4 linked regions of the Saccharomyces cerevisiae S288C genome follow. The gene in region 1 interacts genetically with each later gene. Each region holds a gene or a part of one and is shown in the gene's direction. Other genes may lie near its edges. The genes, in order: ERI1, FYV8, OCA1 and TPT1.

Region 1 (7,235 bases):
AGATTGACCGAATTTTAGCAATCTGACATAATCTCTGGCGACTTGTTCCACAAGGGACTTCGCACGAGATATAGCTGCCAAAGATATCTTGTAATGATTCTTTTCGTATAGGGTGTCCATCAAATCTCTATGGAAAGGATGCACGTCATTGATGTTAGGAAAACCCTTTAAAATGTCCTCAAATTTTTCCACGAAACCTTCACCTGTGTATTTAACTTTACGCATATAGAACGCTCTGATTCTTGTAATCTTGAAACCAGGTCTGATCACAGTTGGTGTCTTTCTCTGGGTTCTGTTCAAGACAATATCCAGCAAATCATTTGCTGGAGCGACAGTAGGGATATCCTTCCATGAAAGTTGCATCTTCGGTATAGGAGGGAGATGTGTTTGCTTTTGGAGGGTACACTTACTTTTTTATAAACGCTGCAACTCCTAAATCTGAAGTGTATTCTTTATATTGTATTAGATGAGGTAGTACATAGGTGAAAATTTTTCTTTGCGATGAGCTGCGGAAAAAACTTTTCGTTCAGTTGAAAAAAAAAAAGAAAGTGAAGATCGTGTGCGACGGAATAGACGTGTCGTTTTCCCAATACTGGCATACAAATCAAGAGGGAGAAGAGTGGGCTTTTATAATTGCAGTTGAATGCAGTATGGTAGCCGAGCAAACACAGGAGAACATGTCAGCCGTAGGTCCAGGTAGCAATGCAGGTGCTAGTGTCAATGGCGGATCTGCTACAGCCATTGCTACTCTTTTACGCAACCATAAGGAGTTGAAGCAAAGGCAGGGTTTATTCCAGGCCAAGCAGACAGACTTCTTCCGTTACAAGAGATTTGTTAGGGCACTGCATTCTGAGGAGTATGCCAACAAATCTGCAAGACAGCCAGAGATATATCCAACTATACCTTCTAACAAGATCGAAGACCAGCTTAAGTCACGTGAAATCTTTATTCAACTTATAAAGGCACAAATGGTGATCCCAGTGAAAAAATTGCATAGTCAAGAATGCAAAGAGCATGGATTGAAGCCAAGCAAGGACTTTCCGCACTTGATTGTTTCGAATAAAGCACAATTGGAAGCCGATGAATACTTTGTTTGGAACTATAACCCTAGAACCTACATGGATTACTTGATCGTCATTGGTGTCGTGTCCATCATATTGGCGCTCGTATGCTACCCATTGTGGCCGCGCTCCATGAGACGCGGCTCCTATTATGTGTCTCTGGGTGCCTTCGGCATCTTAGCAGGCTTCTTTGCTGTCGCTATCCTGAGATTGATATTATATGTTTTGTCATTAATTGTCTACAAAGATGTTGGTGGGTTCTGGATCTTTCCCAACCTGTTCGAAGATTGCGGTGTACTAGAGAGTTTTAAGCCACTTTACGGTTTTGGTGAGAAGGATACTTATAGTTACAAAAAGAAACTGAAAAGAATGAAGAAGAAACAAGCCAAGAGAGAAAGCAATAAGAAGAAAGCCATCAATGAAAAAGCCGAACAAAACTGAACTTCCATTATCCTGTATAGCTCTACTGTATAAACCTTCTATATTGTAACCTCATGAACTCGCACATGTACAAACCTTCAAGAGAACCGGCACCAAAGCGCTACCATCTGGTTGCTTCATCGCTTATAGTGAGTAGTTTTAGATTTGAAGGTTATCGCTCCTGGCAAAAATCTGAATCCACACACCGCATAATTAGCGGTTATTATTACTCAATTTCCGGCCGGCTTTAATATACTTTCACCGAAAGGTCTCTATATAGAAGCTATTTGCTGACACTTGCTTACAGGAATCGATTATATAAGAAGGGTTCTGCATCTGGTTGCCTACTTAGTTTTCGGTATTTTTGAAGATTAGCAAAAAGATCAAGATATCAAGTATTTTCATATTTGTCATTTTAATGTTTCGCTCGGGTTACTATCCAACTGTCACTCCTAGCCATTGGGGCTATAACGGCACCGTCAAACATGTACTGGGAGAGAAAGGAACCAAGTCTTTGGCTTTCAGAGATTCTAAGCGCCAAATTCCTCTTCATGAATTCGTAACCAAACACGTGCCTACACTCAAAGATGGTGCAAATTTTAGGTTAAACAGCTTGCTTTTCACAGGTTACTTACAGACCCTTTATTTGTCAGCCGGTGATTTTTCCAAAAAATTTCAGGTATTTTATGGAAGAGAGATTATAAAATTTTCTGATGGAGGGGTCTGCACTGCAGATTGGGTTATGCCTGAATGGGAGCAAACATATTCATTAAATGCTGAAAAGGCTAGTTTTAACGAGAAACAATTTTCGAACGATGAAAAGGCCACCCATCCAAAGGGTTGGCCTCGTCTTCACCCGAGAACTAGATATCTATCCTCTGAGGAACTTGAAAAATGTCATTCTAAGGGTTATTCTTACCCTTTAGTGGTAGTACTTCATGGTCTTGCAGGGGGAAGCCATGAGCCTCTCATCAGGGCATTATCTGAAGATCTATCAAAAGTCGGTGACGGTAAATTCCAAGTGGTAGTCCTTAATGCTAGAGGTTGCTCAAGATCTAAAGTCACCACCCGTAGAATCTTTACCGCATTACACACAGGTGATGTGAGAGAATTTTTGAACCACCAAAAAGCTCTATTTCCGCAAAGAAAAATATATGCAGTCGGAACATCATTTGGAGCAGCCATGCTAACGAACTACTTAGGTGAAGAAGGAGATAACTGTCCATTAAATGCTGCAGTCGCTCTCTCAAACCCATGGGATTTCGTACACACTTGGGACAAGTTGGCTCATGATTGGTGGTCCAACCATATTTTTTCTAGAACTTTAACACAATTTCTAACAAGGACTGTCAAGGTTAATATGAATGAGTTGCAGGTACCAGAGAATTTTGAGGTTTCGCACAAACCGACAGTTGAGAAACCAGTCTTTTATACGTATACCAGAGAAAATTTGGAAAAGGCTGAAAAATTTACAGACATATTAGAATTCGATAATCTTTTCACTGCCCCATCGATGGGCCTGCCGGACGGGTTAACATATTATAGAAAGGCCAGTTCGATAAATAGATTGCCTAATATCAAAATCCCAACTTTAATAATCAACGCAACGGATGATCCAGTTACAGGTGAAAACGTAATTCCGTACAAACAAGCTAGAGAAAATCCTTGTGTGTTGTTATGCGAGACTGACTTGGGTGGACATTTGGCTTATCTCGACAATGAAAGTAATTCCTGGTTAACAAAGCAAGCTGCCGAGTTCTTGGGCAGCTTTGATGAGTTAGTTTTATAAATATGTTCTTAGATAAAATTCCTTACACATAATAATCTGTTCTTTTATTTCTCTATTTACCATCCTCCCCACGCTGTGCTTTCCAATCCGCCGATCCACTTTCTCTACCACGATTAGATGATTTCGAAGCGGCACTGACGCTTTCGGATTTCGTTTCTTGTGTCTTTCCTCTAATCAGCTCTATCTGTTCCTGCTCATCGCGACATGCAAGTTGGTATATCTCGTCATCATTTAACGAATACCTCAACCTCTTCGTTATAAATTGACAAAGGAATTTTAAATCTTCTTCCTTGATTTGATCTCTGGGCAGCTCGTTTTGGAGGATATAGCGTTTACTAACGTCAACAACGCCATCTTTACCGAACGCAATACAGTAACTCATTTTCTTGTTCCAGTTAATTGAATAGATATATGGTTGGTCGAATGATTGCTCACAGGAGTCGACATGAACCCACCTATTCAAAAAATTTGAAAAATATTCACACCAAACATGATCTTCTCTATTCCAGACGTAGCGAACATCTAACCCAAACGACTTCAAAATCAAAGTAAATAAATTGCACCATTCACCGCATCTTCCCTTTCTAGTTTCCAGCAACTTAATTGGATCGTTATAACGAGGAAATCTAGTGATATTTCCGCATCGGTTGCATTTATAGATCTCAACAGTTCCGCAATTGAATTTAGATTCCTCTCCATTGGGCCCTTGACTGCCCAGAGGTGTCATATTTTCTGAAGTGTTCTGGCCACAATGATTACAATCTGGTTTATTGCACCATTTGAAAAAATCTTGTTTGAAGTAGCGAAGCAGCTCCTTTACTAGATAATCCGTGTATATATTTTCCCCCTCTGCATGCCCATCTTTGGCAAATTCCTTATCAACATTTTTATATATTAGATCCAGATCCAATGTCTCCAGGACTATAGAATGCCATGAAGGATTGTCATAGACTGTACAGAGATGTTGACTCTGACCTAGGACTCCTTGTGCGAATTGATTTGTATGGACTAAATTCTGAAACCTTATATTCTCTACAGGTGCAGCTTTCTTGAATTTAGACAGTATGAAATCCTTATACTTAATTAACAACATTTTGGCTATTGAATCAAAATCTATGTTATTTTTTTCGTATACCTCTCCCATTGCTACTCCACCTGTTACCTTCTTCAGGTTGTTTTACGTCTTCTATATCTGTTCCCAACGCATCCTTTTTTCTTCGCTACAATACAAGGAAGATTACACTACGCAAAGTTTCGAAAACATCAAGAAGCATAGAACAGTTGAAACTAGGCAACAGGACTGTTTCAATTACATGATTGAGAATTTATAAGCGCATGAGACCACGTGACCAAGGCTTTTTGGTTTTAGGGTTTACTTACTCGGTACTCCTAATTAGTCTTGCTACATTTTACTGGTTACGCAACAATGACTCTTTCCTGCACTACTGGTGTGTATTACTGCTATGCCCTGCGACTCTCTGGCTGTGGGCCCTCATAGCCTGGTGTGACAGTGAAATGTTCGCAAGTAGTAAAGATGAATAATCGTTTATAATCTTATTTACAAGTCAGTGCATAAAATGATATAATATCACCTCACGCATGCCTATTTTATACATGTACTTTATATACCTCCCTTTTTTTTAACGCATTTCTATTATAAAACACTTCTGCTTTCCTATCCTCAAGATCAGTACTCGATCATCTATCAGGAAAGGAGCCAAGTTAGAAATATTTTCGTTTACTTTAGATTTTGAATGATGCAGATACACGCTTCCCTGGGAAAGTTTTCTTCTGGCTTCTGATACTGAACAATTTACTAGTTTACAAATTAACTTTATTAAGTCAATCTCTCTATCAGCATACTGCAAAATTCTGGCTTTTTTACATAGATCAACTAACTTCGCAGCAGATAAAGTTCCGTCATAACGTCCAAAAATAATATTAGAAAGCGCTTCTGAATCCGATCCGGAGCCAACTCCATATAACATATCTGTGACTTCTTTAGCCAATAAAGTTTGGCCATAACGTAGACTGGGTGATTTGATATGCGTTTCCACAATTTTTTTGATTTCACTTGAGTTTAAAAACGTAAAGATCTTCAAGAACTTGGGTACATCAGCATCCAAAGTATTATAAAAGAACTGGTAAACATCATACGCCGTATTGATTGAGGGGTCAATAAAAACAGCATTGCCTGCACTTTTCCCAAATTTCTCTCCTGTAGCCGTCGTCAACAAGGGCACAGTGATACCAAATGGCAAACCCTTATTCTTTATAGGCTGTATCCTATTGATGAGATCGATACCGGCTGTTATATTTCCCCATTGGTCGTTACCACCTACTTGTATAGTCACATTCTCTTCCTTATACAAATGGTAAAAATCGTACGCTTGTAAAACTTGGTAAGTAAATTCGTTAAATCCCAGACCATTTTTGGTTTGAAGCCTCGAAGAAATTGAATCCCTCGCCAACATAGATTGTACCCGAATGTGCCTACCAAAATCAGCTAAGAAATCCAACATTTTGATGTCTTTCCACCAGTTGAAATTATTCCTTGGTGTATATTTTCCGGAAGGTACATCTTCAGTGAGAGCACATCGGTTTCTGTAATATTCTAGGCCATTTTTGAAAAACCTTTGTAATTGCTGCGAGATGGATGCCACATTGCTTTGCCTAATATCGTTCTCCATAACGTCTCTTTCTGTTTTCCTACCACTTGGGTCCCCAACTTTCCCTGTAGCTCCACCTATCACAGTGACAATGTCGTGACCTTTTACGTAAAAGTGTAATAAAACCATTAGTGGAACTAGATTTCCCAAATGAAGTGACTGAGCTGTGGGATCCACCCCGCAGTATAATTTGATCTTATCGTTACCGTTCAACTTCGTCCGAAGGAAACTCTCTGGCTGTGAGACCTGGGACACTAGACCCCTTTGTTTGAGTTCGTCTAAAATATTATCGCTTCGAGAATCCGATGTGCCCTGTACTTCTAAAGCACTAGGCTGTGAATAAAATCGAGATTTAGGCAATGTTATTGCACTTAGTCCGGAATAAGTCACCAGAGGCACAAGTCTCCTACTACTATTGACCAAATTACTACAACTTCGTAATTCGAGCATGATTCACAATGTCTACCTGTAGATTGCTGTGTTCAATCGGAAACTGGAAATTCTTTCTTAACATTATGAGCCAACCACTTTTTATTTTCTTTTCAAAACTCCCGAACAAGACCAACATTACCAAACAGACTCCACTACTTTTCCATAAGAAGGAAGCACAGAACACCACACAAGATCATATAGCACAAATAGCGCAACAGCTTCAAGTCCAATATTAAGATATAATGCCTCCTCTTCCACAAAATTATGCGCAACAGCAGCCTTCGAATTGGGACAAATTCAAAATGGGGTTGATGATGGGTACTACCGTCGGTGTCTGCACAGGCATCCTATTTGGTGGATTTGCCATCGCAACTCAAGGCCCAGGTCCTGATGGTGTAGTTAGAACACTAGGGAAATACATTGCTGGTTCAGCGGGTACCTTTGGGCTATTTATGTCCATCGGGTCTATAATCAGAAGTGATAGTGAAAGTAGTCCAATGTCCCATCCTAACCTGAACCTACAGCAACAGGCAAGACTGGAAATGTGGAAGCTTCGTGCCAAATACGGTATACGTAAGGACTGAGGGGGAAATTTTGCATATATTTACGCTTCCCCATCGTTTTCTTAAACATTGTTACTTATCTGCTTATTTTTATTTAAGATATCTATCTACCTGTTTATAACTCTCTCAATACCATGTATTTAAGTTCATCACGACGAGGCTTATTTACTTAATATATTTGTATACGTGGGAAATGTCTAATATGTATACCGGTTTGCATCTTATTTTGGGTGGGGTCACTAACGGCAAGACTCATAAAATAAAGTATTCGCTAAGCACTCTGTTATATTTGTAAACTTTG
Region 2 (9,232 bases), on another chromosome or scaffold:
CATCATTATCAATGTGCTTTTTGAGAGGTGACTGGAACTTCTTTATCATGTAAAGGAAAAGAATAAAAGGATTTTCGACGGTAGTTTTAAAATTTTCTGCTAAATCCTGAATTTGATTGAACCTGAGTTTTGCGACGATCAAGCTGATGTATTCGAAAAGAAGACCGTTTGATTCGGGAGGGATCGTATCCACGTGGGCCAGTAGTTCTTTGTAAAAAACATTTTGCATGATATTTATGTCTTGCGAAACTAGACCACGGTAGTACAGGTTTTCTACGATCAAATACCTATCATACTGCTCCATAAGTGCTGTTTTTTGCGATGCAGTGTTATTATGAATTTTCAACGAGTGCAGCAAGCACCGCTGCGATTCCTGAAATTGGCCCCTGTGGAAGAAAAGAATACCGAGGCAATTGAACAGAATTTTCTCCACTAGTTTTGTAATCTCCGGATAGTCATTCAACTCCTCCATCATACTCATATTCTTTTCTAAATTTTGACTTTCCTTCAGTAAAACATCACAAACTGGTTTTGCAGGCCCATTCGATCCAATAACATGGTAATGTAGTCTAAACTGTAAGTTAAGTACGGAATCTAAACTATCAAACCCTGAATTGAAGGTGCTGCCACCTAAGAGTCGCGCTCTTAGCGCTTGGTCGACCACATCTATTATCTTCGATGGAACAGTAGGAGGAATCCGAACATTTGAGTTAGGCATTGGGCAAGTTGGTATTGAACTTCTTTCCAGCTGGCGTGTTCAACTTGTTCCTTCCAGTATGCCACACATTATGCCTTGCACACCTAAAGCACATATTTTCGTTATTTTTCACCACAATAGGTGGATCTCGAAAAGGATGGAAAATCAGGAAAAAGAAATGTTGAGAAAAAAATAAACCGATTCCCGTTTAGTTTTCTCCTATTTCCGTGTATATGCGTGGTTATTCGTTTTCGAATCCTTTTATGAATGTCCGAGGAGGTGGTACAATCCGAAATAGACTAAAGAAAAGCGAAAGCCGTGAGTTTGTTTGATGATAGATGACTCGCAGCTTTGTCATCAACGGGCCACCCTATTCGAAGAAGGGAATGGAAAACGGACTGGCGTAGTCAATAAGCGTCTTCATATCTTAGCATTGTTGAGAGATACATAGTGTACTCCATATCGTTCTTTTTTTTTGTATATATCAAGCCACATATCCTGTTTCTTTAATCTTTTATACGCCGTAAGAATCGGGTACTGACATAAGTGTAAGTAGCCGTACAGAGAACAAATATGACTAAATCGGTTGGTGATGAAGAGTCACAGTACATTGAGGACCCTAGTTTTGCAGCAGCAGCTGCATTTACTGGCGGCAGGGACGGGGTTTCGTACAGTAATCAGCGATTTGCTGAGGGTTCCGGCCATTCTTCTGACTTAGCAAAGTCATTAGAAGACTATCGGCCTCCTGATGAAAAGCCGTCCTCATTGTCATCTGTGGGGGAAGGTGGCGCTAATGAGGAAGAGAAGGGCGGTAACGACGGCGGTCCCTTGGCAAGAATTCAAACAGGGCTTTTTTCTCCAAGACTGCGAAATCATAGGAAAAAGATTCTCTCGAAGTTTGTTTTGAACAACTTCTTCATTGCTTGTGTGTGTGTATCGCTCATATCGATTTACTGGGGTGCCTGTTACGGAACAGATCGTTACTTTTTCAAAGTGAAAAATATTGTTGTATTGCAGGATGCGCCATCTAATACTTCAGTTCAATCTATTTCCGCGATCATACCCTCATTGTTAGCGTCTGTCCCCGGGACATGGCATATATACAACGCAACATCATTTCATAGGAAATTTGGTACGACGAACTCCACCGAAATTGACAGAAAGATAGTCGATTTAATTTACGATGAGAGATACTGGCTGGCGTTAAACGTTAAACCTAATGCTACAGACACTTTGTATAATTCTTTGATTAGCCAAGACGCAAACTCGGAGTTCAATTCATCAATTTTTTTTGAATCCGTGTTTGAAAGTGGTCGTGACCCATCGAGTGTTAAATCGACCATTCTACCACTCATGCAACAATTGGAGGTCCGCCTTCAGAAATATTACGTCAAGGAATATCTTCCCTCATTGATGAGCAACATCACTTCTAATGACAGAGATCTTAATATAAACATGGAGAACTGGGCGATTGCAGGACAGTTGTTGTTCACCTACAACGATTATCGTCCCTTTGCTGATCGTATTCTAATGGCCCCTCTGCAGGTCGGTCTGATTTATTGTATTTTGTTAACCGTTTTACAACTGTCATTATATGGTAAGTTGCACGGAGAAATGGCCAGAGTTCTGAAGCCAAAGCATATTTTAATCTACAGGCTTCTAATTTCCTGGGCAACTTATTTTCTTCTTTCCATTGGATTCTGTACCGTATCTGCAATTTTTAGGATCGATTTCACCCCCGCCTTTGGCAGAGGAGGATTCGTAGTATATTGGATGTCTACGTGGTTGGTAATGATGGCTGTTGGTGGTGCCAATGAAAACGTTCTCAGCTTAGTTATAGCTTACTGCCCTCCATACCTGAGTATTTGGTTGATGACGTGGATCATATTAAATATTTCTGCTTCATTCTACCCAATGGTTTTGAACAACGAATTTTACAGGTACGGCTACATAATGCCAATCCATAATGCCGTGGATATCTATAAAGTGATTTTTTTGAATTTAACCAAAAGAAAAATGGGAAGAAATTACGGTATTCTCGTGGCATGGGTTGCCCTCAATACATCCTTGATGCCATTTTGTATGAAGTTTGCAGGTAAAAAAATGCAAAAAAATGCTATGCAAGCAGCAGAAGCCGCTGTCGCAGCAGCTACCCAGCGTGCTAGCCGCCCGGCAGAGGCCAATACTGATAAAAATAACAACCCGCCCGGAAATTAATGGGTAGGGTTAATAGCTTATTCATATATACACTTAATACGATTAAAAATTATTTATATTCTCATCATCATAAGATGAAGATGCAAATATCACAACAATTATATAACGTCGTTTGTTTGTTTGGTGACACATTAGTGTTTCATTCCGGGTAGCTATTTTGTTTTTCTCATGCCAAGAATTCTGTAAGGCACTTAAAAGTATTCCTAAATACCACTTTCATACATGGTTAACAAGGTAAACACAAAACTTGCATTATAGTTAAAAGGGACTGTTTGATCATTACCCTTTTTCTGGAAAGCGGATATTTATTATGAGCACTGAACAGGTCGGTAGAAAGAAATCGTATAGATGGGTTAGCGCATCTCAAGCAAGTTATGACGGCGCTGGATGGGACAGTAGTGACGAATATGACTACTCTTCCGAGGATGGCACAAAAGGTTCAGAAATTCACAAGCAAAAAATATCTAATTTGCCTAGTTTACCCAAGCTCAATTATACAGATGTTAATGGTGAGCATGATGAAAATACGGGTGAAAATAAAGACAGCAATGATAATAACGTCAGTAAGAGTGATATTAGTCCTAGTGACAAGGAAGTAGGCTATCTCTCAGATGGGGTGCCTAAACTTATGGCTTCAAGAGAGTCTGTGGAATTACAAGCGAAAAAATCCAGCGAGCACTCCAAATCAGATTATCTTTCGTCGACAGCATCTTTGAAAAGTCCAAGTGAAAACAAAAAATCACCACATACAAATAGGGCTGTAAACGAAGACCTAGACAATTTGATAGAGCAAATATCAAGGGAGATGACACCAGAAATTAGGCAAACATCTGATTTTCGGCGTGATTCAGACAGTTGTGACGAAATCCAAAACGAAGCACCATTAGGGGAAGCGGTACCCTCTTCATCATCTCCTGTAGAAGAAGATGAAAAATCACATTCCTTAGGGGTTTCAATGGATACTAATGAAGCTGATACCACTTTCAATACGCCAACAAGGAATGGAAATGAACATTTGAGTAGTGATGGCGATGTTTCTGAGCAGAAAGACGACGAGTTTAAAGTTTCCGAAAGAGGCTACCTTGCAGATATTCTGCCTGCGGAGAAAGAGGAGAATTTACAACAAGAAGATGATGGTGAAGTCGAGAGCTCAGGAGCTTTGGAAAAGAAAGAAAAAAGTGAAGAAAAGACTAGTATTAGGAATAGGAACTCTACATCTAGTGGGCAAGATAAAGTAGCAAAGCCGAAACCCGTAGCAAATGAAACAAAAACTAGTGATAATGGATATCGAAATTCTTTTTTCAATGATTATCAGCATTCGTCAGACTCTGAAGAAGATGATAACAACGAAGGCAACAGTGGTAGTAGTGATGATGATAATCGATCTTCGGTTAGTGATAAACATGCTGATATTAACCGGCAATCGAAACAACTTGATACAACTGACGATGATGCATTGTCGTATACCGAATCAATAAAATATTCGACAAATGAGACAGAAGAAGAAGATAATGAAGATAATGAATCCATAGAAGACAAAAACGAAGATAATGAATCCATAGAAGACGAAAATGAAGATACAGATAGCTATAAATTTTCTAATAGGGAAAAAGGTTCCATTCTACTTACGAGTGATGAAGAGGAGGAGGAAAAAGGTATGAGCTCTGATTCAGATGAAGGCAGTCTCAAGGCGCCCAAATCAGGTTATTTCTCCAAAATGATTGGTAATGATGATAAAGGTGATTCAGCATTGCAACCTAATCAAATAGACACCATTGAAAATACCAATTTGTCAAATAGCGGTTCTGAATTGGAAAACAGCGATGGCAGCGATGAGGAAGACCACATAAATGAAGACAAAGTTTTGGAAGAAAGTTCAGTTAAAGACTCCACTGATGTTGATTCTTGGAAGCCGGACAGTGAGGCCTTACGATCAGGGTTCGTACAGGATACAGCCAATAAGAAAGCGCCACCAGGTTACGTGATCGATTCTAACGGGAAGCTAGTAGATTTAACACCTGCTAGTATGAAACCACGTGTTGTATCGACTTATTCAGAGATGGAGAGTACTTGGGATGCATTCCCTTCCAAAGGCGAAGATGACGATTTGGAGACAATCAGGGACACTAAGACTATATACGACAACAATACGATTTATAATGTTCCCGGTTTGATTGGTAACCAATCGAATTTGCCACCTCTACCGATGGACGCACAGGAACAATTAAATGCAGGAAACGATAATAGTACAACAGATAATGATAATAGTAACAATACTGCCAATGATTTGGCAGCGCGCAGTGCATCTTTCAAAAGTGAAAACAGAACAGTATCTCAAGGCGAAATGACAAGCGTCCATGAACCCAGTACTGAAGAAATGGCGAAATTGGGGCAGCAGAATAACTTACCGAAATTAGATATGAATAAACTACTGAACAGTAAGACTTCGCACGCCGGTAAGATAGAACAGTTGAGAAATTATAAGCGTGAGCTAGATGAATATGATACGGGGATACAAACATGGATAAATTATACGCTAAAATCATCCTCTAATAAGGATAAGGATTTCATAGCTGAGGAGTATAAGCAGCATAGTCACGTTAGGGAAGCATATGCGAACGCGGACGATTTGAGTAAGAAGCATACTGTCATTAACACGGTTGCTAGTGTCAACCAAAATGTAACGCACTTAAGGAGAAAAGTTTTCCAGCATTCTATGAAACCAAAGGATTTATTCGCATCAATAGGTAAGAAAAAACTGTAAGCGTTTTGCTTTACGGTAGAAACACGAAAATGTAAATGCGTTCAATTTTCAATTTTACTGTTTTTTATGTACTTTTATATAAACAGTGGCAATTAATGGCGTTTTTTATTCTACCTAGCAGAGGCGTTACTGACTCTTTTCTGAGCATGTTTCCTCAGTTCTTCATCCATCAAATCTCTTACCCTATGAGCACCTGCGATGCCGATGGCAAGAACGTTCTCTAACCTATCTAACGGAATTTTGTCTTCCACCAATAAAAGAGAAAGTTTTTCTGACTTCCCTACCACACCTAGTGTCACTGTACTCATAGCATTTTCTTCTAATGAATTGGTATCTAATAATGGGGTAGTATCGTACAGCCCGACGGATATACCACTTATGTAATCGAACATTGATATACCGGCATCTATTAAAGCGAGGGTAATACCGTTGATTAAAGATCCCATAATACCGCCATCTTGCTCAAGGACATGGATCTCGATATCGATAACTGTTCTGGGGTAGATATTCAGCATGACATTCTTCTCAAACATCCTCACCAGGGAGGTTTGTATCTCAAGAACACGCCTTTCATTCTTGTGGCTTGATTTACTTCTTTCGAATTTGGAGAATTTTGTAATGTTTACCGATACGTTCAATAAAGCCTTTGAGGTATCCATTTGAGATTTCAATCTTGGCTCTTTTGGACCTTTAACAAGAGTGATAATTTTGTTGTTACCTTGTTCCATGTAGGATGAACCGTCTGCAGCGTGCGGATGTGTGTTGATGGAACTTTCAAAACGGCGGAGTTCATTCCATCGACGTCCATCGAGACGTAGCCCTTCTGGCGAGTATATTTCTAGTCTTGACATATGATGATCCTGCTGTAGTTATGGCACTAAAGTTTTTTTGTAAATCTTTTTATATGTTAATAGATTTTACCAGTGGGACCCTGGAAAGAAAATATGTGTAAATGATGTTTTCTTTTGGATGATGTTCATTGCACAATGGTTCGCAATGTCATTCATTCATCCATTTCTTCTAGCTTTTCAATTATTAATGCCTTAAAATTTTTCAATTTCACCGCGTTACCCGAAGATGTAAATGTACCTACTCAAATAAAAGGTTCCTTGCTGGTTGGCTTTCGTAGCTAAATTGAGTGCACGTTACAAGATTATAAATGCGTTTATATATATATATTCCAGTGAATGATCTACTTTTGCTTAAGCGGCAGAATTGCAAATCTTAATTTTTCTTTTTTGTTTATGTTTTATTTCCTTGTGACAAATAAAATTTTTTTCTCTTCTGAATTTTTAAAACTAAAGAACAAAATATTAAAATAAACAAACAATTCTCCACTTTTTCTTCTTTTGGTATAGAAACTGATAGAAATGTCCTAGACCCTTAATAAGCAAAACACTCATCATTATAACGGGAAAAAATTTGAAGCAAGCTCAAAAGAGATATATATATCATCCAGCATAGACTACTATTAATTTCTATCATAATTGCAATAAAAAAGGAAATATTTAGGGGATCAAGACCATTATTCCATCAGAATGGAAAAAAGTTTAAAAGATCACGGAGATTTTGTTCTTCTGAGCTTCTGCTGTCCTTGAAAACAAATTATTCCGCTGGCCGCCCCAAACAAAAACAACCCCGATTTAATAACATTGTCACAGTATTAGAAATTTTCTTTTTACAAATTACCATTTCCAGCTTACTACTTCCTATAATCCTCAATCTTCAGCAAGCGACGCAGGGAATAGCCGCTGAGGTGCATAACTGTCACTTTTCAATTCGGCCAATGCAATCTCAGGCGGACGAATAAGGGGGCCCTCTCGAGAAAAACAAAAGGAGGATGAGATTAGTACTTTAATGTTGTGTTCAGTAATTCAGAGACAGACAAGAGAGGTTTCCAACACAATGTCTTTAGACTCATACTATCTTGGGTTTGATCTTTCGACCCAACAACTGAAATGTCTCGCCATTAACCAGGACCTAAAAATTGTCCATTCAGAAACAGTGGAATTTGAAAAGGATCTTCCGCATTATCACACAAAGAAGGGTGTCTATATACACGGCGACACTATCGAATGTCCCGTAGCCATGTGGTTAGAGGCTCTAGATCTGGTTCTCTCGAAATATCGCGAGGCTAAATTTCCATTGAACAAAGTTATGGCCGTCTCAGGGTCCTGCCAGCAGCACGGGTCTGTCTACTGGTCCTCCCAAGCCGAATCTCTGTTAGAGCAATTGAATAAGAAACCGGAAAAAGATTTATTGCACTACGTGAGCTCTGTAGCATTTGCAAGGCAAACCGCCCCCAATTGGCAAGACCACAGTACTGCAAAGCAATGTCAAGAGTTTGAAGAGTGCATAGGTGGGCCTGAAAAAATGGCTCAATTAACAGGGTCCAGAGCCCATTTTAGATTTACTGGTCCTCAAATTCTGAAAATTGCACAATTAGAACCAGAAGCTTACGAAAAAACAAAGACCATTTCTTTAGTGTCTAATTTTTTGACTTCTATCTTAGTGGGCCATCTTGTTGAATTAGAGGAGGCAGATGCCTGTGGTATGAACCTTTATGATATACGTGAAAGAAAATTCAGTGATGAGCTACTACATCTAATTGATAGTTCTTCTAAGGATAAAACTATCAGACAAAAATTAATGAGAGCACCCATGAAAAATTTGATAGCGGGTACCATCTGTAAATATTTTATTGAGAAGTACGGTTTCAATACAAACTGCAAGGTCTCTCCCATGACTGGGGATAATTTAGCCACTATATGTTCTTTACCCCTGCGGAAGAATGACGTTCTCGTTTCCCTAGGAACAAGTACTACAGTTCTTCTGGTCACCGATAAGTATCACCCCTCTCCGAACTATCATCTTTTCATTCATCCAACTCTGCCAAACCATTATATGGGTATGATTTGTTATTGTAATGGTTCTTTGGCAAGGGAGAGGATAAGAGACGAGTTAAACAAAGAACGGGAAAATAATTATGAGAAGACTAACGATTGGACTCTTTTTAATCAAGCTGTGCTAGATGACTCAGAAAGTAGTGAAAATGAATTAGGTGTATATTTTCCTCTGGGGGAGATCGTTCCTAGCGTAAAAGCCATAAACAAAAGGGTTATCTTCAATCCAAAAACGGGTATGATTGAAAGAGAGGTGGCCAAGTTCAAAGACAAGAGGCACGATGCCAAAAATATTGTAGAATCACAGGCTTTAAGTTGCAGGGTAAGAATATCTCCCCTGCTTTCGGATTCAAACGCAAGCTCACAACAGAGACTGAACGAAGATACAATCGTGAAGTTTGATTACGATGAATCTCCGCTGCGGGACTACCTAAATAAAAGGCCAGAAAGGACTTTTTTTGTAGGTGGGGCTTCTAAAAACGATGCTATTGTGAAGAAGTTTGCTCAAGTCATTGGTGCTACAAAGGGTAATTTTAGGCTAGAAACACCAAACTCATGTGCCCTTGGTGGTTGTTATAAGGCCATGTGGTCATTGTTATATGACTCTAATAAAATTGCAGTTCCTTTTGATAAATTTCTGAATGACAATTT
Region 3 (7,541 bases), on another chromosome or scaffold:
AACCTAACCAGGATCTTAACATCAGATGCCACTGTAAGTAAAAAGGATATTGAAACATCCGGCGAATCATTACCACAGTGGATGAGAAAATTTTCATTAACTCCATTACTTGTGTTTTTCCTAAAGAATTGTTTGAGACCGTGCTCTATGGCCGTGATCATCGCCCTAACTGTTGCATTTATCCCATGGGTCAAGGCTTTGTTCGTGACTACCGCTAATACTCCTCACATAAGCCAAGCTCCTGACAATGCACCACCATTAAGCTTTTTCATGGATTTTACAGGTTATGTCGGTGCCGCATGTGTTCCATTTGGGTTGATATTATTAGGAGCAACTTTAGGAAGATTAAAGATTGGCAACCTTTATCCTGGATTTTGGAAAGCCGCTGTGACACTCGTCATTTTGAGACAATGTGTCATGCCAATTTTTGGTGTCCTATGGTGTGATCGGTTAGTGAAAGCTGGATGGGTTAATTGGCAAGATGATAGAATGCTACTATTTGTTATAGCAATCAGCTGGAACTTGCCAACGATGACTACCCTTATATATTTCACCGCCAGTTTTACGCCGCCAGAAACAACTGCGCCAATCCAAATGGAGTGTGTTTCATTTTTCTTAATGCTGCAATACCCGCTAATGGTTGTTAGCTTGCCATTTTTAGTGTCTTACTTTCTGAAAGTACAGATGAACCTTTAGTTTTAATCCATTAAACAAAAAATTATTACCACTCCTAATCACTGTTTTAGGGTGGGTTAAAATTAACATTCTCCATTTTTATATAGAACTAATAAAAAACACCTACTTATAGACACGACCAAACTTTCCACAACCTTTCATCAGAGAGAAATGTTGATCAAGTTGAATGCGTGAAAGTAGCAATTCGAAACAACAACTACCTGTCATTCTGCATAGTAGTAGTTACGAAAGGCACAGAAAATAACAAAAAAAAAAAAAAAGTCAATTTTCTACGGTCTCCATCCGTACCTCTTTAAATCCGTACATTATTGTTTTGCTTAATTTCAATATTTCGGAAAAAGCGAGCGCCCTGGTAAAATGTGGTTCAAGCCTGCGAGCCTTTGCTTGGTAACTCACCAAATGCAATTCAGTCACGTTCCACACAGTTTGGGTTTCCAGCCTGGCTTTAGGGAAGAATGGGCTCACTAGGCGTTCATAATACGCGGAGGGGGAAATACCAAATGCTATTGATTATGGTTAAAATATGTGTTATTTGACTTTGTATATACAAACAGAAGAGAAACCAACACACTAAAGACTAGACACATAACTGACCAATGTCCTCTGTCCAATCCAAGATCTTATCCCAAGCTCCAAGTGAGTTGGAATTACAAGTCGCCAAGACCTTCATCGATCTAGAAAGCTCCTCTCCAGAACTAAAGGCTGACTTGAGACCATTGCAAATCAAATCTATCAGAGAAGTATGTTAAAAGTTATATAATTTGGAAGCAGCAACATTGTGATTTCTTCTAAAGGGGTTCTTTGCAGTAATTTTTTCAAAAAAGAGTGATTTTGAGCAGTATCTGTATGAAATTTTCATGTGTTCGAGAAAAATAGTAATTCCGAGAGCTGTCAATACCATGAACGTTGCGATGAGCCTTTGAACTATAAAGGCCTCCTTGGTCAGTACCAATATCGATGAATAAAATAGAAGCACGCGAAAAAGACCTTACCCCAAGGAGAAGAATCACAAACCCTTTTTTGTTATGAATGAACCAATTCAGTTACTAACTTTATTTCAACGCTGCTTGATTCTTATTGTTTAGATTGATGTCACCGGTGGTAAGAAAGCACTAGTCCTTTTTGTCCCAGTTCCAGCTTTGTCTGCATACCATAAGGTCCAAACCAAATTGACCCGTGAATTGGAAAAGAAATTCCCTGACCGTCATGTTATTTTCTTGGCTGAAAGAAGAATCTTGCCAAAACCATCTAGAACATCTAGACAAGTCCAAAAGAGACCAAGATCCAGAACTTTGACTGCTGTTCACGACAAGGTTTTGGAAGACATGGTTTTCCCAACTGAAATTGTCGGTAAAAGAGTTAGATATTTGGTTGGTGGTAACAAGATCCAAAAGGTTTTGTTAGACTCCAAGGATGTTCAACAAATCGACTACAAGTTGGAATCTTTCCAAGCTGTCTACAACAAGTTGACTGGCAAACAAATTGTTTTTGAAATTCCAAGCCAGACCAACTAAATAGTGAGATAACTATCATTCTCATCATTTGTCATACTTAAAGAAAATAATATTAAGAAAAAATAATAAAAAAAGAAACATAGTTATGAGAATACAAAAGGAGGTTTCCAAAAAGTGGGCTTTTTTAATTCGAGTAAAATAATTATGAATGTATACTTAAATATATTTTGTATCTGTCAATATAGAGATGCTTTAATTGGTGTTTTGACATTTTGGAATACATATTGGGTTGATTTCCCAAGTTCTCGCTGCAATCAGATAAAAAGGAAAAAAAATAATGGTTGCTAAGAGATTCGAACTCTTGCATCTTACGATACCTGAGTATTCCCACAGTTAACTGCGGTCAAGATATTTCTTGAATCAGGCGCCTTAGACCGCTCGGCCAAACAACCACTTATTTGTTGAAGAAAAAGCATTATTTATCGCTAGACAACGATACGTCCATCAACAACCGTTAGTTCTTTCACATTGATATGCGGATTACTTATCTGAAGGAAAGGAAAAAGGCGTGGAACAAGTGAGCATTAACATAACCATCTGAAATCTTAGATGATCCCAAGTATGTGTAATTAGATCCGCCTCTTCGCCCAGCACATTGTCCATGCATTATCTGCTTACCTCTACGCGTACCTTGACATGGCGTGTTACGTGTTTCAACTTTGTATAATCAGAATTTCATTTGAGTATATTTTACAAGTCAAAAGCCCAAATGACGTATACTTGAAATAATTGAGGCACGTCCAATTGTGAGTGGCAAACCTTTTTTTCGGTATTCTAGATAGAGCTAATCGCGTATTTGCAATTATAGTTTACAATTCTTAGACGATTTCCGAAGAAAGTTAAAAATGCCCTTGAAAAAAAAATATGTAGGAAAGAGTGCATGCACATGAAGAAGAAAGAAAGAGCTAGGGAAAAAACGAAAAAGGAGCCTAAGGAAAAGAGTTAGGCGTTTACAACAGGACGAACCCGGAAGGAGAAAAGTTTGTAGTCTTGCAGTATCACAAACAGCAACCACGTTCATAGTCTGAAATACGTACAAATGAGTTCACCAGCGAACCTATTCCCTGGATTAAACGACATAACTGACGTGCTGGAGGAATTCCCACTGGCCACCTCCAGATATTTAACATTACTACACGAAATAGATGCAAAATGTGTGCATTCTATGCCGAATTTGAACGAGAGGATAGATAAGTTCTTGAAGAAAGACTTCAATAAAGATCACCAAACACAAGTAAGACTGCTCAATAATATCAACAAGATTTATGAAGAACTGATGCCATCGCTGGAGGAGAAAATGCATGTCTCATCCATTATGCTGGATAATCTAGACAGATTGACGTCCCGGTTAGAATTGGCGTATGAAGTCGCAATCAAGAACACAGAAATTCCTAGAGGTTTAAGACTGGGTGTGGACAACCATCCAGCAATGCACCTCCATCATGAACTAATGGAAAAAATAGAGAGCAAATCAAACAGCAAATCGTCGCAGGCACTGAAGAGCGAATCAAGAAGAGAAGCCATGGCTGCCAACAGGAGGCAGGGCGAACATTACTCCGCCAGCACACACCAACAAGACGACTCAAAGAACGACGCAAACTACGGAGGCAGCAGGCACGAGAGCCAAGACCACACTGGTAACAACACAAACTCAAGAAAAAGAGCCAACGCTGCCAATACCAACAACGCCGATCCAGAGACCAAAAAACGCAAGAGGAGAGTTGCCACCACAGCCGTTTCACCAAGCACTATCAGCACGGCAACTGCCGTCAATAATGGCAGGATAGGTACATCTACAGCGTCCAGGGGAGTTAGCAGCGTCGGAAACAGCAACAACAGCAGGATATCAAGACCAAAAACCAACGACTACGGCGAACCGCTCTACTGCTACTGTAACCAAGTGGCATACGGGGAAATGGTGGGGTGTGATGGCGCAGACTGTGAGCTAGAATGGTTCCATTTGCCATGTATTGGACTCGAAACTCTACCTAAGGGCAAGTGGTATTGCGACGACTGCAAAAAAAAACTGTGAAATAGCTCTCGGGCGAATATCGCCTTAAGGAAATATCTACTAAATACCGAATATATACATATATATATATCTTAGCTACATATATATATATCTTAGCGTTTTAACGGGCGTGGCCGTATCAATGGATCTGCAAGATACTTGGGCCCTACCGGTCTAGATAAAATATTCAAATCGATGGTGATGACGGCACGATAAAACGTAATAAATGATGAAATGACTTGTCACGGCGTAGCAGCGCCAGCAGCTCAGTCTAATCGCCGTACAGTGGGTGGTGTGGCTAATCGCTTAGGCTTTTTATTCAGAAGGACCTTTTCATTCACCTCGCCCCCCTTGGAGGTTCCTGCCTGACCCCTTTGCCCCTGGCCTCGCCCCTGCGCCATGTCTCTGCCTGGAGCGTGACATTTAGGACGGTGAAGCTAGGCAGGCCTTCAGAAATTAAACGGAACATGACAGCAAAGACGAAACAAAGCTGGAATAAGGGGATCTGGGAAAACGGGAAACAAGGTTCACATCAGCAAACATTTCTACCGAAAATCTGGGTAAACATTTATAGTACCCCAACATCTTAAGTTTTAGCCGTTGTCTTCTCTTATCGCCTAGAATCGCTCATTTCAAGCGTAACGCAATCCGGCTTTTGTTTTTTTTCCATTTTATTCATCCACTCTTTATCTGACTCTTCTGCACTATATTAATCAACTAGGAGAAAATTACTTGAGCAGAAAGATACGAGAGAATTACGGATAAAAAAACCAAGTTAACCGTTTTCGAATTGAAAGGAGATATACAGAAAAAAAAATGCCTTTGAACAAGTCGAACATAAGAGAGTACAAGCTAGTCGTCGTTGGTGGTGGTGGTGTTGGTAAATCTGCTTTGACCATACAATTGACCCAATCGCACTTTGTAGATGAATACGATCCCACAATTGAGGATTCATACAGGAAGCAAGTGGTGATTGATGATGAAGTGTCTATATTGGACATTTTGGATACTGCAGGGCAGGAAGAATACTCTGCTATGAGGGAACAATACATGCGCAACGGCGAAGGATTCCTATTGGTTTACTCTATAACGTCCAAGTCGTCTCTTGATGAGCTTATGACTTACTATCAACAGATATTGAGAGTCAAAGATACCGACTATGTTCCAATTGTGGTTGTTGGTAACAAATCTGATTTAGAAAACGAAAAACAGGTCTCTTACCAGGACGGGTTGAACATGGCAAAGCAAATGAACGCTCCTTTCTTGGAGACATCTGCTAAGCAAGCAATCAACGTGGAAGAGGCGTTTTACACTCTAGCACGTTTAGTTAGAGACGAAGGCGGCAAGTACAACAAGACTTTGACGGAAAATGACAACTCCAAGCAAACTTCTCAAGATACAAAAGGGAGCGGTGCCAACTCTGTGCCTAGAAATAGCGGTGGCCACAGGAAGATGAGCAATGCTGCCAACGGTAAAAATGTGAACAGTAGCACAACTGTCGTGAATGCCAGGAATGCAAGCATAGAGAGTAAGACAGGGTTGGCAGGCAACCAGGCGACAAATGGTAAGACACAAACTGATCGCACCAATATAGACAATTCCACGGGCCAAGCTGGTCAGGCCAACGCTCAAAGCGCTAATACGGTTAATAATCGTGTAAATAATAATAGTAAGGCCGGTCAAGTTTCAAATGCTAAACAGGCTAGGAAGCAGCAAGCTGCACCCGGCGGTAACACCAGTGAAGCCTCCAAGAGCGGATCGGGTGGCTGTTGTATTATAAGTTAATAAAAAGGAAATAGTTGTAGAAACGCTAAGACGAAAAGAACTCTATAAAGTTGAAACGAGTACACACATTTATAAATATATACAAAAGTAAATAAAAAAGTGACTGTTTTTATATTGCTTATTGCCATTTGCTATTTCCGTTTCATTCTTGTTAACATTGGAAACTTTGGGCAATATCATATGGTTGCCGGGTAAAGGAAAAAACAAACAACATCGCTATAACATAAAATTGGACATTGCAGAGAGTCATCAATCACATCCATTTTCACAAGAAAGAGGTGTTCCACCTGGAATAACAAGCTTCTCTTTCCCCTTAGAATGACATCTAAAGTTGGTGAATATGAGGACGTTCCAGAGGATGAGTCCCGCCTCACAGAAGAGAACGTATCCGTACCTGAAGAAGAAGTAGAAGACGAAGACGAGGAAGAAGACGACGATGATGATCATATATATATCAATGAAGAAACAGAATCTGGTCGCGAAAAGGTCTTGGTATCACATGCCCCACAAGAACGTATCGTTCCACCTTTGAATTTCTGTCCCGTTGAAAGATACCTCTATAGATCTGGTCAGCCTTCACCTGTGAATTTCCCCTTTTTACTAAACCTAAAACTGAAAACAATTATATGGCTGTCTAACGAAGAACCTCAAGATACCCTCCTAGAGTTTTGTGATACTCATAGAATAAACTTACAATTCGCAGCCATCAACCCGGATGCCGGTGAGGACGATAATCCATGGGACGGTCTCACTGAACATTCTATAATTAATGTACTACAAACGATCGTCACTCAAGAGAATTATCCCTTGCTAGTGTGCTGTGGTATGGGAAGACATAGGACTGGGACAGTCATTGGATGTCTCAGAAGAATAATGGGTTGGAACTTAGCCAGTGTATCCGAAGAATATAGACGCTTTACTGGTAGCAGAGGTGGTAGAATTCTTGTAGAGTTGCTTATAGAAGCTTTCGACACTAATTTAGTAAAAATAGACAAAAATAAAGCACCAAGTTGGTTACTGACAGCTTTGGAGTAGAGGCAAGAAAAAAAAAATGCAAAAGATAAAGAAAAAGCACTGAGCTTTATGACCATTTACCTAAAGTTTGAAATGTTTCAGGATGCACGGCCCATTCGCGAACCAACTTCTAAAGATCACACGAAATGAAATTCAAAATAAATGAAATTTATTTAATGGGTAATTTTATAGAATATTAATTATCCGATTTATATATGGACATACTTACTATGGACATGATAATGAACAAAAAAAGATATCCGCTTGATATCATGCTTGCTCCAACTTTTCATAAAGCTGTTCCCTTGCATACCTTATATTTTTTTGTAATGTCTGATCGATTTGACGTTTTAAATCACATTTCTTGGCAACATATCCTTCCTCATAAATTCGTTTCCAAGTATTGTGATATGACTTGACGAAATCAGCTGGCAGTAAATCATTTTCAGTGGCATTGACCAAATTCTGTGATGTCTGTGGAGCCCAATACTTGAATGTAGCTGCTGCCAATACCCATGGTA
Region 4 (7,347 bases), on another chromosome or scaffold:
TAAAAACTCGGACAATTCGGACAGCACTCCGCGAGAAAAGGGCTCGTTGGGCAGCTCAACATTATTCAACGCAAGCCTGTTGAGCTCAATTGGTTTTAATTGTAAATACTCAATGGTGTCAACAGCTAAATGATTTACACTCATATATATGGTCCGGATATATGGACGCAGAAGTAAAATAAAAATGAAAAAAAGTAGAAAAGGAAATTAATTTCTTAAAGTTCTTGTCAGCGCATATAATATTGGTATAAAGGTACATATATATTGACAGTATGGTTTCATTGACTACAATAGAGCAAAGCCCAGTCAAATGCGAGACAACCACTGAGAAAGAGAGCAATGATACTAGGGGGACAGATTCGAACGAGAATGCAGAGACAAAAGAAACAAAGAAGGGTTTTCCATTCCATGACTTGGCAAAATTGCAGAAACAGTACAAAAATAAATCCAGTAGGAACGAGTCACTAGTAGCACTAATATATCTCTTGGGTTCGATGCTGTCATTTTGTCTCCTAATATTTTTCACGGACTTTTATTTGATACCTTTGTTCCCCACCACCACTACAATGACAGACTACATTGTATTCAATTTTTATTTATTGAACGTTTTTGTATTTTGTATGGTGCATTTCATTTATCACTTCGTCAAAAATATTTCTCTACAACAACATCTCGAACATTGGCAGAAGTTTTCGTATTTATCGAATATCAACTTATTGATATCATCACAAATCACAATTCTTTATTATCTATTCTATGATTACGTGTTTTTCTTCAAAATTTTTACCCTTTTAATGAACTTCATAGGATTAGTGGCATACTTTTTTATATTGACGGACAAACTCATTTCCTCGAAAAGATTCAATAAAACAGTTTTCTTCATTTCGGTATCAGTAGTGTGTTGTTCCTTGCCACTATTAACCGCAATAATCACCTTTGATGGTTTAGAAAACCTGAAAGAGAGGATAAAAGTGAACGCAATTACGTGGGAACTTGTGGCTTTGGTAGCGGCATCTATAATTTACGTTACCAGGTTCCCTGAATCATTGTTCAGACGAAATAAAAAGGAAGAAGGTTGGAATCATTCCGAGTACCTTTTCCATCTCTTGATTTCTGGTACGGCTTTTTACCATTTTTTCATTTTGATTCAATCTTATATTTTGATGCATTCAAGTTTGAATCAGCCCGAATTAATTAATTTCAAGTCTTAGACTCAGCTGGTGCTCACATAATAAATAATTGAATAAATAAGGCAAATTAAATAAAAAAATAATTCAAGAATGGGAAGTGTATCTCCTTTAAAGATACTTACACGAGTTGAATTAAGCTTCATGTTTTGACTTTAATGTCTTCTGCGGTTCTTGTCCGTATTTCTGTCTTCGTGATGTATTTGTTCTTTTTTACTGACACCGTGACGCGAGGAAAGCTCATCAAAATAATGGCAAAATGCATAATACATTATTACAGAATTGAGCAGAATGACTGGGAAAGGTGGACTTGACAATGCGCCAGGTACTACAAAAAGATAAAAGGGATGTACAGCTTTCCAAAGCTTTATCATATCTGCTTCGACATACAGCGGTGAAAGAAAAGTTGACTATTGACTCAAACGGTTATACACCGCTGAAAGAACTATTGTCTCATAATAGATTGAAAACTCATAAATGTACGGTGGATGATATCCATCGCATTGTTAAGGAAAATGACAAACAACGCTTTCATATAAAAACGTTAGGAGCGGACGAAGAATGGATCTGTGCTACTCAGGGACATTCAATCAAATCGATTCAGCCATCAGATGAGGTTCTCGTACCAATTACTGAAGCGTCGCAGTTACCACAGGAACTAATTCATGGAACAAATCTTCAATCTGTCATAAAGATTATTGAATCCGGAGCAATATCACCAATGAGTAGAAATCATGTCCATTTATCGCCGGGGATGTTGCACGCGAAGGGAGTTATTAGTGGAATGCGTTCTTCAAGTAACGTCTATATTTTCATCGACTGCCATTCTCCATTATTCTTTCAAACTTTGAAAATGTTCAGGTCGCTCAATAATGTTTACTTAAGCAGCAGTATTCCCGTTGAATTGATCCAAAAAGTTGTAGTTAAAGGAAACTTGAAAGATGAGGAGAAGTTAGATACTTTAAGAAGAATTTTACACGAAAGAAACATACCGCTCGAAAAGATATAACTTTCATCAAGCTCAACTTTTATGAATTTTTATTTTTAAATACTTCGCTCTTACTTATATATTTAAATAAAAACTTTTAAGATTAGATGAAATGAATTGTCTCCCTTTTATAGCTTTCTTCCTTCTTTTTTGTTCTTTATCTTTTATTTTTTGTTGGTGTAGCAGTCTAACTTTCTACAATTTCCTGTGTAGGTTCGAATTTGAGTTTATGATGGGCAGCACCTTCGGCCACCTGTTGTTTCCTCTTTTTAGCTAGAGCTTTAGAGGCTTTGATATTGAATCCGTCCTTTAAAATTGTTTGAACTTCCTCTAACTCCAATCCTGATAGTTCTGGATAACAAAAGTAACAAAAAATGGTTGATAAACATGCTACACCGGCAAAGAATGAAAATGTACCCGTTGGTGTAATATTTTGTAACATAGTCAAGAACGTAGACGCAATGACTAAAGAACCTGCCCAATTGGTGGCAGTAGCGTAGGATGTCCCTACACCTCTGACGTTTTGTGGAAATAATTCCGATTGTTGCCATGGAACAGTGCCGATACCGAGGGCATAAAAGGCTGCATACACAATAATAAATACGATAATGACAATGCCCCAAGATGAAAATCCATCAGATGCCACTACTGCATCAGCACCGTTAAACTTAATACCTAGGAAATGGAACGCTATAGCACATATAACCAGCGCCACAGTCATACCAGGTAGTCCAATCAGTAAAATGTACCTACGGCCGATTTTATCAATACAGAAAAATGCTATTAATGTGAACACAAAATTAGTACCTGAGACAATAATAGAAACGGCAGAAGAATTTTTGAATCCAACAGTTTCAAATATTGTACCGGAGAAATACATTAAGGAATTCCAACCTGTGAATTGTTGAATGGCTTGTAGACCACAACCAATAATCAAAGCTCTGAAATTTGAAGGCACAGTGTGCAATTCCTTGACCATATTCCAGAATTTTGTTATTGGATTTTTTCCTGGTATCGATTGATTTAAGCTAGATAATTCTTCAACTTTTTGATCAATTATTTCATCTTCAGTGTTTACGTAACTTCGTTTGAGAACCATTTTTGCTCTCTTTAAATCGCCTTTCATTACGTAGTATCTTGGTGTATCCGGCAAAAAACAGAAAAAAGAAAACTGCAAAACAGTAGGTATCAAGGACAAACCAACTAAGATTCTCCAACCGTTTTTGACGTGGTTCAGGCCCGCACCACAACCGTAAGCAATCAATTGACCACCTGTCAGCCATAGGGAATTTATAACGGTTAACCTACCCCTGATCATCTTAGGAGCAATTTCACTAATAAAAAGAGGAGAAATCAAAGAACCAATACCGACACCGAAACCCATAATCAGTCTACCGGCCGCCATTTGCCAAAACTTGTGCGCGGTAATTTGTAAAATTGCTCCGATCAAAAACATCAGATTGGAGAACATTAAACATGGTCTTCTTCCAAACACATCAGCAGCAGTACCAGCGCCCACACTTGTAATCAAAGCGCCCAATGATGTGGCGGCCGTAATTAATTCTTTTTCTCCATAAGTTAAAACTTTGTTGTCTAAATCTCTATTGATAGAAATTAGCGCACTCGATATGTAACCAGTATCATAACCAAACATGAACCCAGAAATGGACGCAACGAATGTCAATGTAATAATAAAAGGGGATATTGACTGATTGAAAGTTATAATCACTGATGTATCATCTTCATCGTTAACTGGTTTAATGACAATTCGACCGTCATCCTCGTCCTCATCCTGTCTAGATTTTATTTGCATTGTAGAGGTGGATACGGGAGACTTTTTCGGTTTTTGACCATCATTGTCTTCTTCACAGTGCTTCCTATGGTGCAGTTCTTCTCCCTGCGTAGAAGATTGATCAGTTGAGGCGGCCCCCATACCACTGCTATTAGTGTACGAGGGAAAGAAATGGGAGAGACGACTCTTCGTCCATCTGGAACTAGCAGCTGTCGAATTCTTCATTTCAGCCATGAAAAAAAAGCAGTTTTCTTGCTTTTACTGCGTCCTGCCTCTTTTCTTCTTTTAGTTTTTTGTTTTCGTTACCGTTTTCCTAGCGAACGACAATGTTTATTTTATTAAGGTATTCTTTGTGTTTTTTCGTACTCTATACTAAAGTATGGTCAACTGCTTACGTTCTGTTAGGCGGAAGACACGAAATAACTTTGCTTCACATAATATTTTGCATACTTTTAGTGGCAAGACGAGCGATTTTGGAAATTTTTTTGGCGATGTTTTTTTAGTAAAGCGGGTTTTTGACTACAATTTGAAAGCTCTTGTAGTAGAAGAGGGAACAAATAAGAAAAAAGGTTCCGGGATGAGGATTTGAGCTGAAGGTGAGAAATGGGTGAATGTTGAGATAATTGTTGGGATTCCATTGTTGATAAAGGCTATAATATTAGGTATACAGAATATACTAGAAGTTCTCCTCGAGGATATAGGAATCCTCAAAATGGAATCTATATTTCTACATACTAATATTACGATTATTCCTCATTCCGTTTTATATGTTTATATTCATTGATCCTATTACATTATCAATCCTTGCGTTTCAGCTTCCTCTAACATCGATGACAGCTTCTCATAACTTATGTCATCATCTTAACACCGTATATGATAATATATTGATAATATAACTATTAGTTGATAGACGATAGTGGATTTTTATTCCAACATACCACCCATAATGTAATAGATCTAATGAATCCATTTGTTTGTTAATAGTTTGAATGTTTTTATCGGAAGAGGTTTTGTCATCACATCAGCAATGTTCTTCTTGGTCTCGATGTAGTATACGTATAAATTATTACCTGATACTTCATCTCTAAGTCTCATTGCCTTTGTGCCAAAAAATCTGTTTCTAAATTTCTCTTCATTTGTAGACTTAATTATACTGATCGTTGATCTACTATCAGTAAGTAAGCCTTTAATAATTGGTTTCTTGTTAAGTTCTTGTATCAGGTAACTTAGATTATTTAATAATGGGACAGATTCACTTATCGCGTGTATTTCTGCTTCCGTAGTTGAAGTACATGTTAATGAAGCCTTGGTGGACTTTCCTCCAATTACCTTTCCATTAAGTAAATATATGTTGCCAATTTGTGATTTATAATACGGTTGGTTGCCATACGAAGCATCACTTATTGCGACTAGTTTATTATCTGGCTCGGTAGGTTTGTTTTTGTGCCATATCAGTTGTTTATCTCTAGTGTCCCACATGAATTGTATCAACTCATATGTCATGTCTAAAACTTGCCTAGAGGGGAATAGTATATGTTGAGCAAGTGTGTTGATGTAGTATAGTAAGTCAAATCTAAATTTATATCCAACATATGAAGCTAGACCAATCAACTTTTGCATTTCATGTACCTTCTCTTTGTATTCATCTTCATCTATTTCTAGTTCATCCTGGTCTATATAAAGACCTGGTTGACCTGGAGCGCTAAGTTTTCTTCCTTTTGGATTCAAAGGTACGTTTAATTTGGGTATTTTCTCAGTTAATGAGTTTTCCATACCTAATTTCATGTATTTACCTCTTTGATATTTGATTTCTAAGCCAAGTATGTCGTACTGAATTTCGTTATCACTTTCACCCAGATTTATTATCTTTGTATCGTATTGTTTCTTGAGTGTTGTTATGATTTTCTTATTTGCATTTAAGTCTTTGCTGAATAAAATCATGTCGTCAACAAATAAACATATTGTTACTTGACTATTCTTAAATACGCATGACCATCCACGAACTTCTTCCATACCACACTGTTTTATCAGGTATGATTTGATAGTTTCGTACCAGTTCGCTCCACTTTGTTTCAATCCATAAAGTGATTTCTTCAAACGTATCAACTTATCATTCATTCCTAAATGTGGTGGAGGTCTTATGTATAATTCTTCTTTGATGTCTGCATACAAATATGCCGAAGATATGTCTAATTGTGTAATATAGTAGTTATTGTCTAATGCAAGTGACAGGGATGTCATTAATGCATAGTGATGTACGGTATTGGATTGCATGCCTGAGTCGTAAGTGTCAGGATGCTGAATATCACCTCTTGCAACAAATCTAGCTTTATGAGTACCGTCACGTTTCTTGTTGAAGATAAACATTGAGTTTATTACTCTTTTAGGGTCTATTTCTTTTCTGTCATAATATTCGTCAGTGTCCCAAGTTTTCATCTTCAACAGTTGATTGACTTCTTTGTGGTATGCCTCGATATATTTTTCTTTTTCTTTAATATCTTTATTATAGGTGATTGCCTCATCGTATCGTAAGGTTGTCCGTATTGGTTTGATTGATTTTACTGCTTTTACAGCTGCAATCAGGTGAATTCGTTTCTTCGATCTCGGAGGTTCTAAACTACGCATATTCTTAGTATTCCATGTGTCTCGTGATACCTTAATTTCAGTTTCATTATCTTCTAATGATCTTTTCTTACTGTTGATAGTAGTATAGGCATTAGAGTCACCAATACCACCCAAACTGGAATTAGTTTGATGAGAATTTATCGGTGGGAGTTCTTTAAATGGGTCAGGGAATTCGGTAGGAGATTCTGGAGGTAGATCAGGGAGTGGGAGATCAGCGATGATAGATTCCTCGGTATTCTGTTCAGAAACAGTAGTTGGCGTTTTGATAGGAACAATATTGTGCGATGAATTATTTTCCGGTGGAGAAGCATCGATTGAAGGTGAACGGTGTATAATCCTTTTCTCAGTCTCTTGGTCACTTATCTGCGGAACAGTTTTGTTGTTGGTACCACCCGTACTGGATATTGGTACGTTTGTATGATTAGTCTCATTTTCACTGTACGAGTCTGAGTGTCTGAAATCTTTAGATTTACTGGCGTGCGACGACTCATGTGTGTTAGATTGGGACATGGGAGCAAGTAAAGGAACATTTAATTTATGCATACCACCCGAACCGGTACTCTCGATATTGGAAATTTGGGGGGTGCTAGATCTCTTCTTTGATGGAAGAATATTAGATTCAGATATGTTGGGGTCAACTTCTCTGGGTGCGCGAATATTGGTTTTAGAAACACGTTTCGAATCTTCAGTATGAGTTGACGGAGGTGTGGAATCGGTTGGACTCACAGCTTTTGAAAGGACATTTCTCGGTTGCT

The links.
Region 2: mutations in ERI1 (region 1) and FYV8 together harm fitness more than expected from each alone (negative genetic interaction), as found in Saccharomyces cerevisiae (2 studies listed by BioGRID).
Region 3: mutations in ERI1 (region 1) and OCA1 together harm fitness more than expected from each alone (negative genetic interaction), as found in Saccharomyces cerevisiae (2 studies listed by BioGRID).
Region 4: mutations in ERI1 (region 1) and TPT1 together harm fitness more than expected from each alone (negative genetic interaction), as found in Saccharomyces cerevisiae (one large-scale study listed by BioGRID).

What each region holds. Positions count from the first base shown.
Region 1 is NC_001148.4:364,106-371,340, reverse strand, and holds ERI1 (Eri1p), read left to right. Parts: upstream 1-4,605; coding exon 4,606-4,812; downstream 4,813-7,235. Other genes in the region: putative GTPase NOG1, read right to left, coding at 1-363; Sec63 complex subunit SEC62, read left to right, coding at 678-1,502; EEB1 (medium-chain fatty acid ethyl ester synthase/esterase), read left to right, coding at 1,900-3,270; PNG1 (peptide-N4-(N-acetyl-beta-glucosaminyl)asparagine amidase), read right to left, coding at 3,323-4,414; tyrosine--tRNA ligase MSY1, read right to left, coding at 4,911-6,389; MGR2 (Mgr2p), read left to right, coding at 6,614-6,955. UniProt on the Saccharomyces cerevisiae protein: Probable component of the GPI-GlcNAc transferase (GPI-GnT) complex in the endoplasmic reticulum, a complex that catalyzes transfer of GlcNAc from UDP-GlcNAc to an acceptor phosphatidylinositol, the first step in the production of GPI-anchors for cell surface proteins.
Region 2 is NC_001139.9:886,179-895,410, reverse strand, and holds FYV8 (Fyv8p), read left to right. Parts: upstream 1-3,224; coding exon 3,225-5,678; downstream 5,679-9,232. Other genes in the region: YPP1 (Ypp1p), read right to left, coding at 1-718; SNG1 (Sng1p), read left to right, coding at 1,271-2,914; exosome non-catalytic core subunit SKI6, read right to left, coding at 5,789-6,529; XKS1 (xylulokinase), read left to right, coding at 7,536-9,232.
Region 3 is NC_001146.8:438,067-445,607, reverse strand, and holds OCA1 (putative tyrosine protein phosphatase OCA1), read left to right. Parts: upstream 1-6,324; coding exon 6,325-7,041; downstream 7,042-7,541. Other genes in the region: YNL095C (uncharacterized protein), read left to right, coding at 1-696; 40S ribosomal protein eS7 RPS7B, read left to right, coding at 1,293-1,436, 1,782-2,210; PHO23 (Pho23p), read left to right, coding at 3,250-4,242; PLS1 (Pls1p), read left to right, coding at 4,689-4,811; Ras family GTPase RAS2, read left to right, coding at 5,038-6,006; MIC27 (Mic27p), read right to left, coding at 7,291-7,541.
Region 4 is NC_001147.6:120,846-128,192, reverse strand, and holds TPT1 (tRNA 2'-phosphotransferase), read left to right. Parts: upstream 1-1,503; coding exon 1,504-2,196; downstream 2,197-7,347. Other genes in the region: IZH4 (Izh4p), read left to right, coding at 273-1,211; myo-inositol transporter ITR2, read right to left, coding at 2,363-4,192. UniProt on the Saccharomyces cerevisiae protein: Catalyzes the last step of tRNA splicing, the transfer of the splice junction 2'-phosphate from ligated tRNA to NAD to produce ADP-ribose 1''-2'' cyclic phosphate.